Linked DNA regions of Drosophila melanogaster. The protein of the gene in region 3 interacts with the protein of the main gene of each other region in a pairwise test. Each region holds a gene or a part of one and is shown on either strand. Other genes may lie near its edges. The genes, in order: stas, CG13675 and Cln7.

Region 1 (3,755 bases), on a different chromosome or scaffold from region 3:
GCACGAACACAAAAAAGAACAACAAAATAGATAAGTAAAATTTCACAGCATTATCAATAAGAATAATGGGTCTGCCAAGGGACTTTGAAAAAGATTAGAGGGATCTGCACTTATAGTTTTCAACACGTTACGTTTGCTGATCAAATTTGACAAAAAAAAAACAAAGATTGTTCTCTGACTTGCTGATTCCATGCAAATCAAATTCTGATGAATTCAAATTGATAGAAGTATATGTACACAAACGTCTTGAACTTTAAACAAAATAAGTTTACTCACTCACAGAACCAGACTATCAAATAACAATCCGCTTTAGGTAAAGTTTAAAGATAATAATAATCGTGTGCAGAAAGTTTTTCTTATGCAAAGCGTGACATTTGAGTTAAGTTACTTATTTAACATGGCTGTTATAGTAAATATTTGGACAATTAAATGGCCCTTTTCTCACTACATACAAATAGTTATGTCTGATCTAGCCAATAATAAGTATTTGCAATAAGAGTTTTACATCCTACAAATGTAATATCTATGATATTTAAACATAAAATATTGTTTTAGAAGCGAAATGGAGATAACTAGCATTAGGTAAATGACTACCTAGCATATCTAATCATAGTTGGATGTAGCCTAGCTATTTTAAGCGGATCATTGGTCGACATCTCTGCTCGCAAATCAAGCGAGACAAGCTAAGCATACACACACACACACATGGAGGCCACTTAACACCTTACAGGTGCACGAATGCGCAGGGGACACACATTTGTGGCGCTTTAGCACCAGAAAGACCCACTTACGCGTTGAGCTCGGGGAATATGGCGTACACATAGCACATGGTGACCAAGCTGGCCACAAAAATGCCCGCTACGATGACCAGGGACTTCTTGGTGGCCTTCTTCTCGTCTGCGGACATGGCCTGCTTTTGCGGAGTGGCCTGTTGTTGTTGCTGCTGCTGCTGTTGTTGCTGTGGATTAAGATCTTGTTGCTCCTGTGGCGGCACCTGTGGCAACAGTGGAGTAGCCACCTGATCCGGGGAGTGTTCCTGGAGCGCCTTTGCCCTGCCATTGCGCATTGTAATCCCCTCGTCAGCGGAAATGGCTAGAAAAAAAAAACAGAGACATGCAGATGTAATATGCATTCCAAAGCAGAAGTGGTGGTGGTGAACAGAATGCACGGACTAAGGGTTAATAGTCGTTTTTGGCTTCACGGGCTGCGCACTAGCTGCGGGTTAATCACCGTTCCTTCGCTCAGCTGATAAGTAAAAACAACTAAAACAGCACACTCACCCACACCACTGCAGTAAGACATTGTGGCTTTGACACGATGTACGTAAGCCCGAGTTGAAGAAGGAAAATTTAATAAGCCTTCTATATCCGATTTTAATTCACGATTGACTCATTTAGCGTCTAGGCTATTTATCAATTGTTAATGCTATTTGTGTGCCTATTTGCGCGCCAGTCACAATTTGTTGTTCTTCTCTCTATCCGCGTGCCTATGCGTATGTGTATGTGCGTGTGTCTACAACAATGAATTTAATCAATATAAAAAAAATAGGAAGTTGGCTAAAACTGCGTTAACTAGAGTAATTGTAGTTGACTACTGCGCTAATAGCAATTTTTTTAAATTTTTTCTATTGCTTTTCACTTTAGCCGACTTTTTCGGCGAACGATCACGCTTAAAAGTCAATTTAAAATAAATTAATTTCAGAAATTTCCGTCACGACCAGTGTGGCCGAAGGCGCAGTGTTGATTAAGTCCAAGCGTGTACACAGCTACCGCACAAAACTGAACGTGGGTTTCTAATAAAATCTGGTCATACTGTCATATTTAGCGCCACTTTTTAGTTTCTCTAAATTTTATTTATATTTTTTAATGTTATACGTAAATAAAAAAATGTGAGTGTCTGCATAAGCAAGTGAAGTACTTTTTTTGTATCTATAAATATCAACATAATAGTGCCCTTTTTCTTTTTGCCAAAAGACTCCATATTAATTACCACCTCCATGAAATACTGATAGAAATAGTGGAATTAAACAGTGCACTTTTTATTTTGTATGAAAATAGATTTAATAAAAATCTCATCAATATATTTAACATTCTATAATGAAACTACGACCTTCAGTGGGTAGCAAACGCATTCACGAAACTTAAGGGATTAGGTTAACTTGTTTTCATGTAAAAAAAAAAGTACGTTGGTATCTAGTCTAGAATCTGTTAGGAATCTGCTGTTGTCTTGTTTTTGAGCTGACGGTATAGCTGAACCATTTTGCTGCGCTCGGTTTCAAGCATTGACCTCGTAGCCAAGGGCAGATCTTTCCGCTTGCCCTTCATCTGGGCCTTGGTGGGTGCTTTGAAGGCGCTCTTAGATTGGGCAGCCAGCTTTAGTCGACTGCTGTCGTCGTCCTCCGGCCCACGATTTGACTGACCCTGGTCGGGATTCAGCATGGACTTTAGAAGGAGATTGGCTTTGCGTCCTGGACGCGGCACGGTTTCACTTTTTTCCGCTTTGCGCGGCAGGATTTTGAGGGAAGGTGGGGCATGGACGATCTCACCAAATGCCACAGCATCCTGTTTGAATTCTGTTGGCCCGGCATTCTGCTTCTCCTCGGTATCAACCTCTTGCTGGGCCTCCTTGTAGGCCCTCTTCACCAATTCGCGACTGGTCTTCGCATCCATGGGCTTGTGTACGACTTGAACCTTTTTGCGACCCCTTTTGCCCGCCAGCCGTTGCTCCTTTTGCTTCTGCTTGAGCAGCTCGTCGATCTCGTTTTTCGGCCTCTTTTGGACAGTAATCTCCCCGGTTTTGGGGTTTCTGATCACGTTCACACCATACTTGGCCTCGTAGTGGGCTTCCCGTACGGATGCATTGGTCATGCGATTCACTCGGCGCAGATAATCCTCGTCCGTTTCGTTGGCGAACTGCTTGATGTTACGCGTTTCCTTTGAGGAGGAACTACTGCCAGGCTTGGATCCTGGAGAGGATTTGGGCTTATCCTCCCGTCCAATTTCGCCCAATCTTAGCTTCTTGCCCGATTTGGTGGCGTTGGCAAGCTGCTGAAACTGACGGAACTTAAAGGACACCTGCTGCTCATCCTTTTTCACAGGCGGATTGTTCGTTACTTTGGAAAGTCTGAAATGTGAAATGGTGCAGATATTAGTTTAGCTGCCTTTTTCGACTGACTTGCCACTATGAACAAACTTCTTCTCCTTCTGTTCCAGCTGCTTGAGGGGATCACGGACGCCGTGGTGCTTGCGCACGGGAATCTTTCGTTTCCGAGCCATTTATTTTGGGTTTTGGTTCAATTTTTGTAAAACAAACTCGTGGTATCGACAGCATGGGTTAAAATACTAAGCGCGATGCATGCTGACAAATACCAAAACAAACCATAAATATACCAAATCGATTAAAGCTTGGACTCAAACCATTGGCGCCCAGAATTACAAATGAAATATTAAAGTTAAATATATATTAGATTAAATATATAAATGTATTTTACACTATGTATTGTATTAAGTAGTCTTCATATTCCCCTATTTTATAATATACATTTTTAATAAAGATTTATATGCTGTAATGAGAAAAGTATTTTATTGCAAGTGGTAAAATTTACTGTTTGCAGTAAAATTAAATATTTAAAGTCACGAATTTGTCTTAATTTATTGTTTTATTAGTTTATAAGCAACGACAAAATGAAGAATAAGTCTGAAACGGCACTTTCGAACTGAATACGTATGATTTAAATGTACATATGCATATTATGT
Region 2 (3,755 bases), 820 kb from region 3:
AAATATTAAAAAATTAAAATTTTGATTTTTAATTCCATATAAAAACAGTTTATTATTGCATATTTTGGTAAAAATATTTTGTTTCCTATTTCAATCGATCAATTATGCATATTATTAATTTTTCCCATTAATGCCAATCGAGTTCGTTGCCTAAGTCTTTCGTTTATCAGGCGCTAATGAACGAAAATTTCGCACTAAGCGCTACAATTAAATGGAGTCGCTATGAAGTTAGCCAAGTGGTATCACAAATAAGCCGAAATTTGCACCAATTTTTCGCAGCTTTGCGACAGAGCCAGGCAAACATCAACAAACCGCGAAAGCAAAACAAAAGCCGACCGCGCTTTTTTTTGTGTATGTTGTCCAATAAAAAAATCCCCCGCACTCATGAATGAGAGAATAACTGCGATTTGAAGAGCCGACCAGCCGAGCGAGGCATCAATAGACACGATGATTTAGTTTTTCCAGCCTCGTCTCTGTGGCGATGATGTTGCTCTTTGGTAACTCCACCGATGACGAAGTGGATTTAGCCGATGGCAGCCTCGCTCATCTGCAGAGAGTCCAACGAGCCAGCGCTCTGCTCTTGAGTATAAAACTAAAATTGATGCGAATTTTTTTACAACTTTTGCATCAACTTCAAACGCGGCAACACGTGCAGAGCCCCAGAGCTTGCTCCTCCGTTCGAAACGAAGTGAGTCCCCGATTCTTGAAGATACGATCCGAAACGATATACGGCTCCATCGGATCTGTAATAAATTGCGGCGTGTGTTTTATTAGCGCGGCAAAGTGCGTGGCATTCAAACGGTGCTGAGAGTTGAGCAATCAATTACGAAAATTAGTTCCCAGATGCTCAGTGAACATTAAGCAAACGACAAAACATCCTTAAGAACGGATTAACACTATCAGCTATAGTAGTTGAAAGGATAAGGAACTTTAATTAAATATGGTTTAATAATTCAAAAAAGGAAGTGCACCTGAACATAAAAAACATAAAAAGATTATTTAAGAAATGACATTTATAGGTTTAGGAACCTTCATAGGAAGTTTATATAACGATTGCACTTTGAATATCTAGTGGATTTAGTACTCTTTTAACAAAAGATCTATGTTGAAGACCAAAATGTTCAGTAAATATTAGATACTTGTTAATTATAACTTAACATAAAAAAATAAATATATTTCACATCAAAACTAAGTTTCTATTACATTTTTAACAATGCCAAAAGGTAAAGAGATTGAAAAGATAGCCACTTTATGTTAATCTATATAAAACGTGTACTGAAATAACCAAATTACGACGAACAATGTGTTCAACAAGAATCCAATGCAATATCGTTAGCCCAGACTTAAACGATCCGAGTTATTATCAATTAAGATCCATTAGAAGCACACAATCCGCGGGCACAAAAAGTGAATGCAACCGGCAGCAGCTGCAACATCGCCGCCAGCAATACTCGATTGTCCATTAGCCATTGCGGTTGCCTCCCCTCGGCTGACTATAGTAAACATTTAGATATAAAATCTAATTATATGCCGCATAAACCAAGAAAGAGAAGATGTTTCCTTTCTAAAATTCCGACAAAAATTATGCTGCGCGCTGAAAATTAATATCAACAACCCACTCGACTCGTTTTCTTTCAATTTTCGTTTTGTATCTTTTAGATAGGAAAAAAATCACATTTAAATTACGGATTACGGATAACCAAAAAAAAAAAAAACATTACAACAAAAAAAAAACATATACAAAAAGCAGCAGACATCATGGCAGCCACAACAACAGCAGCGAACAAATCACCGCAGCAGCAGCAACACAGACGGCAGCAGCATCTTCAGTGGAGCGCCTGCATTATGATAGTCGTGTTCGGACTGTTTTCGATGCTGGCCGGGAACTGTGTCAATGGGGTAAGTGGAGTCGTCTTCTTCCCGATCCCAAAATCTGAAATCCGCAATCCGAAAGAGCAAAACGCCACTAAGCCCACTATGCCTTTTCAATCGTTTTTATGGTCCGCAATCATGGAAAATAGCTATTTTTCCATGGGCCTTTTATGAGCTTGGGAAATGGCTTATTGAATAATTTTGCCAACATTGAATTGACAACTTCATTGGCCGCGTCTGTTCCCATTTGTCCGCATCGTTGCTGTATCAACATGAGCAACTGCAGCACACAAAAAAGTGTCATCTGAGATAATTTCCTACATTCATTCCGAGTAAAAAGATTGCGCACACCATTTGTCTCTTGTTTGATAGGGATCTTAACCAGCAACAACAACGGCACGCCAGCAACAGCAAACTCCCACGCAAAGTTGCAGCCACGGCAACAGCAGCAGGAACAGCAACAACAGCAACACTAGCAACACCAGCAACAATTACAATTGTTGCCTCTTAAGCCCAAAAAAAAACGCTTGCGGCCCCTTTCACCCTTCTGGCCATCTTCTTTTCATGCAGCATGCCATTTTGCAAGACGAGGCCAAACAGCCAGAAGAAGTTGCAGAAGATTCGGGGCTGCCAAGGGGGAAGAGTGGCTAACACACGATGCAGACAACCTGTCTGCCAAAGTGTTAGACAACTTCTCACGTCTTAGCCAGAAACACACAGAGAAAAAGTGAACCCAAAGCTGCCTGAAAACAGGGGACGCCTCTTTCTAAAAAGGTGTCGTCATGAGTTTTTGCTTCCCTAATTTAACTACACTAACTATGGGACTAAGGAGGAACTAAAGTATATAACACCTTCAGCTTATCTTCTTGTTAGATCTACTATCAAACAATTTAAATAGTTTTTAGCAATTAGATTTATTCCTTTAATTAGTTGAAATGACAAATTTTGAAGTCCATCATAGTTAGGCGTAGTTAGCTTATACAAGTAAAAAGGGGAAACAACATTCGCTTTTCACCATTTGAGGCATTCTCCGCTGTGTTACATTATCAATTAGCCTTGGTGGCCCCTCAGCCGCGCGCTCGTCAAACAGAAATAAAAGGAAAATGCAGGGAAAATTAACCATTTTCCGGCTGTAACTGCCGTGGCCCATCTCGGCTGGCTTAGCGGCTTGGTATTTAAAGGAAAATGGTCTGGTCTCTGGCCAAAGGTTGAGAGTGGAGGGAAATAATTGATGGTGTGCGGGGCTTTTGTCGAGAGTGGCATCTTGTCCGCTTTTTGGGTTAGTAAGGCAATGGGCGGTCCATATAGTTTGTTGTTTAAGTCTTTTGTTGCCGCTGGAAATGCTAAAAGCCCCTGGAAAGTTATTAGCGTGAAAATTGCAAGTGATTGAGAAAAGTTAAGACGAAAAACGAGGCAGCTCGAATTTGCAATGCAATCGAAATGGGACTGGAGTGGAAGGTGCATCCTGGTTGCAATTGCACTCTGGAAAATAAGTGTTTGCTTGTTTAATAAGGTTTTTGTTGATGTAAATTTTTCTAAAGAAGATAGCAAAAATGGTAACGACTTCATTTGGTATTTTTTAACCAGGTGACTGAAAATATAACAACAATTACTTTTAAGTTAAAAATTTTGCACATAAAGCAATAACTATTTCGCCTTAAAGCTGCATAAGATCCTTGATTAAGATGTTTGCGAATTGGCCATAAAGTCCCAAACTTTTCCCATGAAGAAACCTCCTTGTGCTCGGCCATTTTCCCACCCCATCAATGTGCTGCACATTGCCAATCACTTTGCCCTGTCCCAACGTATTCAATTAGCATAAACTCAGCATTAACCCAAATAGACAAGCGCCAACGGCGGCAACTTTAACCCCCTGAAAAGGG
Region 3 (3,755 bases):
ACAACCAAACCGCCATCGACATTGGCCACATCCACGAAAGCTAGTCGCAATGTGAATCCCCTGACGGAGTCGAAGCTCGAGAAGAATTGCAAGGCGCTGTGTGAGCATTGCGGCTGTTTGGGCTTCTACTGCGGCGAGGAGTGCCTGTGCGAGTGTAATGACGACCAATCCGATACTGAGTGCATTCGCACCATGCAGATGAATGCCAAGACGTTGAATCTACCATTCGAAATCGTCATCCAGGGACCGAGCAGCAATCGCTTTGTGCGCAACGCACAGCAGTTCGAGCAGAAGCGAGATCTGGTGGCCAGGAGCGCCAGCACTTCAATGCAGTCGCCTCGAAATCGTCGCTCAAACATAACCATCTACAAGCCCTCCACAAAGTTGGTCATTCAACGTACGGCCAATGGCTTAGAAACGCCATCCAAGGCTTCGGAGCAGATAAGGCACAAGAGGTCCGTCGATCACCTGGAGTGGTTCAATGACTTTGCCAGTTCCTTGGTGCGTCCCTCGCCACTGGGCACTAGAGCCCAGAAGCAGCAGCGTGCATCAGCCAAGCCATCGGCATTCAAGCGTCAGGCTGAGCTGGAGGAGCCGGCTCGTCGGGAACCATGGTTCCTGGAGCAGTCAGCTTCGCGACTGACTCGCCCCGCTCCACTTAAGAAGGATGCACTCTCGCGGAAGAACAAGAAGAGTCCTTTGTTCCGAAAGAGCGCCAAGAGCAAGGCGTCCAAGGAGCAGTCGCGCAAGCAACCGGAGCGAGAGATTCGGCCACTCCGCGATGCCTTGCAGGTGGTGGAGCGGATACCCAAGGTGCTTCAAGATACGGTCAGTCATCTGTCCTCCGATCCACGCACTGGGGATGTCTTTAGCCTGAATATTAGAAACGAGGATGTGCCGCAGAAAAAGGATCGCCAGCCTGAGGATCGTGTGCCACGCAGGCCTAGCGCCACCTTCCGTGGTTTCCGGCGCAATGAGATCATCCCCGAAGCCGTCACCCTGGCTGCCCCAATGGACCTTGCCCCACGAGCTCCACTTCCCGGCCAGCGTCCAGGTGGACTCCTGCTGCCCTGGCTGAGGCAGCGGCGACTGATGCGTTTGCAGCAGGCACAGGGAAATCTGTAGACCCAACATACCCAATTTACTTTCACTTTTATTATTATAATCATTTGTTGTATATTTATAAGGCATTTTGGTCTCTCAAAAATAAATATAAATTTGCACATTATAGTGTTCTGCAGTAGCAGCGAAGATAGAAGCGTTCGAAATTAAAGTATCTGAAGTAGTAAGATCTTTATGTACCTGTAACAATATGAAGGCGTTCTTAAAGATCGTTTTCCAATGAGTCATTATAGTATTCACACACGCAGGTAGAAGTTTGGTAGGTTAGACAGGTTTCTATAGAACTCCATTCTTCAGTTTCCCTATTATTTCAATTGGATCTCGAATCGAATCTCAAAGATACATCTATTCTACTGATGATCTAGTATAATAATGATAATTTGAAGAAGGAGTATTGGTGTTACATGGATTGTGGATTGATAACAAGTTACTATACTATGCTTAGGAATATTTTGCCTGAATAGAAAACCCTTGCGATCTATCTTACAGATGCCATAGATTTCGGAGTATCTAAGTAGCATACTTTCGGGCGCGGGTGCTATCTGCCGTTGGCTCCTCTCTCTCTTCGGGCAGCTCCATCACGCTCTGTGGCGACGCGTCGTCCGATTTGTTGGCAACAGGCGCTGCCGCGTCAGTTCAGTTCAGTCCGTCGCGTTCGTTCATCTCCAGTGGTCGTCGCTGTTCCGCTGCAACAGGTAGTTAAAAAGACATAGCCCGATTGGTAAAAGGTGCATTACCCGCTGGAAGCCCCACAAATAGGATGCGCGCGGTAGGGGGGTGCCCTTGAGTTCTAGATGCACAGAAAGATACATGCACGCAGATACAGATACAGATACAGATATAGCCATTGGCAGAGGGAGAAAAGCGCTTTCTTTGCGTTTGGTTAAATATTACAAAAATCGAGTGAGAGGAAGCGGGAGAGCGAGAGTGAGACAAAGAAAGAGTAATTTAAAAAAAAACAAAGAGTGCATGTTTCCATTTAATTTACATAGTTTTGCTTCAGTGTGTGACGAAAAACAAAATACAACTTAGTAAGCTAAGTAATTTGAAAATCAAAGCAAGGAGTGCAAAGGCAAAGTAGCTTAACGAAAAAAACAATAGGCAGCCAAAGATCAACGGTCGCTATCTCATATCTAGTATCTTGTATCTGAAAGATGTGTGTGTGTGTGTTTGGGTACTTCGAGAACGAGAATCTGGCGCTCAACTAAAAAAAAAAAGAAAAAAAAAAAACCAACTGCATCAATTGGCAATTGGTATAATCAATTAGAAATTGATTTGCGACGGAGTGATCTTCAACCAGTGATGATTTGATTGATGTAGGAAGTGGACAAGTCTGATTGATATGGCTAATCGCTGCACTTGTTGCACTATCGAAAACTAAAGTTATAACAAAATGTTTTTATTTCGTACCCTGTACTGGGGCGAATCAATTTCTTTTGCTCTGATAAATGAAATCATGTAATAAACTGACGTTCTGTACGAACCTTATCATGCCATATAAACAAAAACAATGGCATACTCACAGTGATAGTGGCTCTTACTAAAGAAAAACGACATACAGACACCCGCACATGGCAACGAATAACTACAAACAGCTTTATTTCGGCACCGATTGCCTTTATCTTCCGCAATTTGTGTGATAAGTTCAGCAAACTGTTTTCCATATCTGTGGTTTTTTCGGAGGAGGATAATCACGCGACGTCTGGCAGATAATCCACTCCATCCATATTCAAGTAATTGAAGGCACCGCCGATTAGAGACATACTCTACTCTGAATCATTAATAGTTACAAGACTTTAAAAGCGTGTCTAACAACTGACACATCGATTCACAAAAAGCTCCATAAAGAAAAAAAAAACTCATTCGAATCCATTTACAGAATGACTCAGTGGCGGTGAAATCCAGCAAACACACATCCATCGCAGCCAACCAACCCATCAAACATCACAGCCAAGCAAACCAATTATGGAGTTTGCCCGCCGAGTTTCCGCTCGCTTTGAAACCAAAAGACTGCCGGAGGATGTGGACGATGGCCTGGAGACGCTGGAGGAGTACAAGCAGCGCTGGCGCTCCGTCCGCATCATCTACTTTACGATGTTTCTGATGGCGCTTGGCTTCAGCATCATACTCACAGGCATTTGGCCCTACCTCAACAAGGTGCGTACCCATTTTGGTCACGCTATCCAGCTGCTTTTCAATCTCATCTCTCTTCAGCTAGATCCCGATGCGGGCAAGGAGTTTATGGGACTGATTGTGGCCGCCAATCCGCTGGGACAAATGATCTTCAGTCCGATCTTTGGGTGGTGGGGCAACAAGCTGGGCAAGATTCGTCTGCCACTGCTGCTATCGCTGTCTCTATTCACGCTGGCCAGTGGCATATACTCCTCGCTGGAACTGCGTCCGGACAATGTGAAGTACTGGATGCTCTCCTCGCGGTTCCTCATCGGTGTCAGCTCGGCGAATATTGCCCTGTGCCGCTCCTATTTGTCCGCTGCGACACGAATCAGCGAACGCACACATGCCGTTGCAATGGTTTCGCTGGCACAGGTCCTTGGATTCATCATTGGTCCAACTCTGCAGGCGGCAGTCACACCGCTGGGAGATCAGGGACACGTCTGGCTGTGGGGCAAGAT

Evidence for each region.
Region 1: the proteins of Cln7 (region 3) and stas interact in a two-hybrid assay, tested with the Drosophila melanogaster proteins (one large-scale study listed by BioGRID).
Region 2: the proteins of Cln7 (region 3) and CG13675 interact in a two-hybrid assay, tested with the Drosophila melanogaster proteins (one large-scale study listed by BioGRID).

The regions. Positions count from the first base shown.
Region 1 is NC_004354.4:17,626,149-17,629,903, forward strand, and holds the start of stas (stasimon), read right to left. Parts: upstream 1,748-3,755; 5' UTR 1,303-1,747; coding exon 1,281-1,302; intron 1,093-1,280; coding exon 792-1,092; intron 1-791. Other genes in the region: CG8326 (uncharacterized protein), read right to left, coding at 2,208-3,123, 3,193-3,275. UniProt on the Drosophila melanogaster protein: Required in cholinergic neurons, but not in motor neurons, for normal neurotransmitter release by motor neurons. Involved in muscle growth.
Region 2 is NT_037436.4:8,162,364-8,166,118, reverse strand, and holds the start of CG13675 (uncharacterized protein), read left to right. Parts: upstream 1-1,666; 5' UTR 1,667-1,758; coding exon 1,759-1,899; intron 1,900-3,755.
Region 3 is NT_037436.4:7,343,192-7,346,946, reverse strand, and holds the start of Cln7 (Cln7), read left to right. Parts: upstream 1-1,763; 5' UTR 1,764-1,817; intron 1,818-2,562; exon of another isoform or gene 2,563-2,855; intron 2,856-3,001; 5' UTR 3,002-3,087; coding exon 3,088-3,279; intron 3,280-3,336; coding exon 3,337-3,755. Other genes in the region: CG14834 (uncharacterized protein), read left to right, coding at 1-1,125.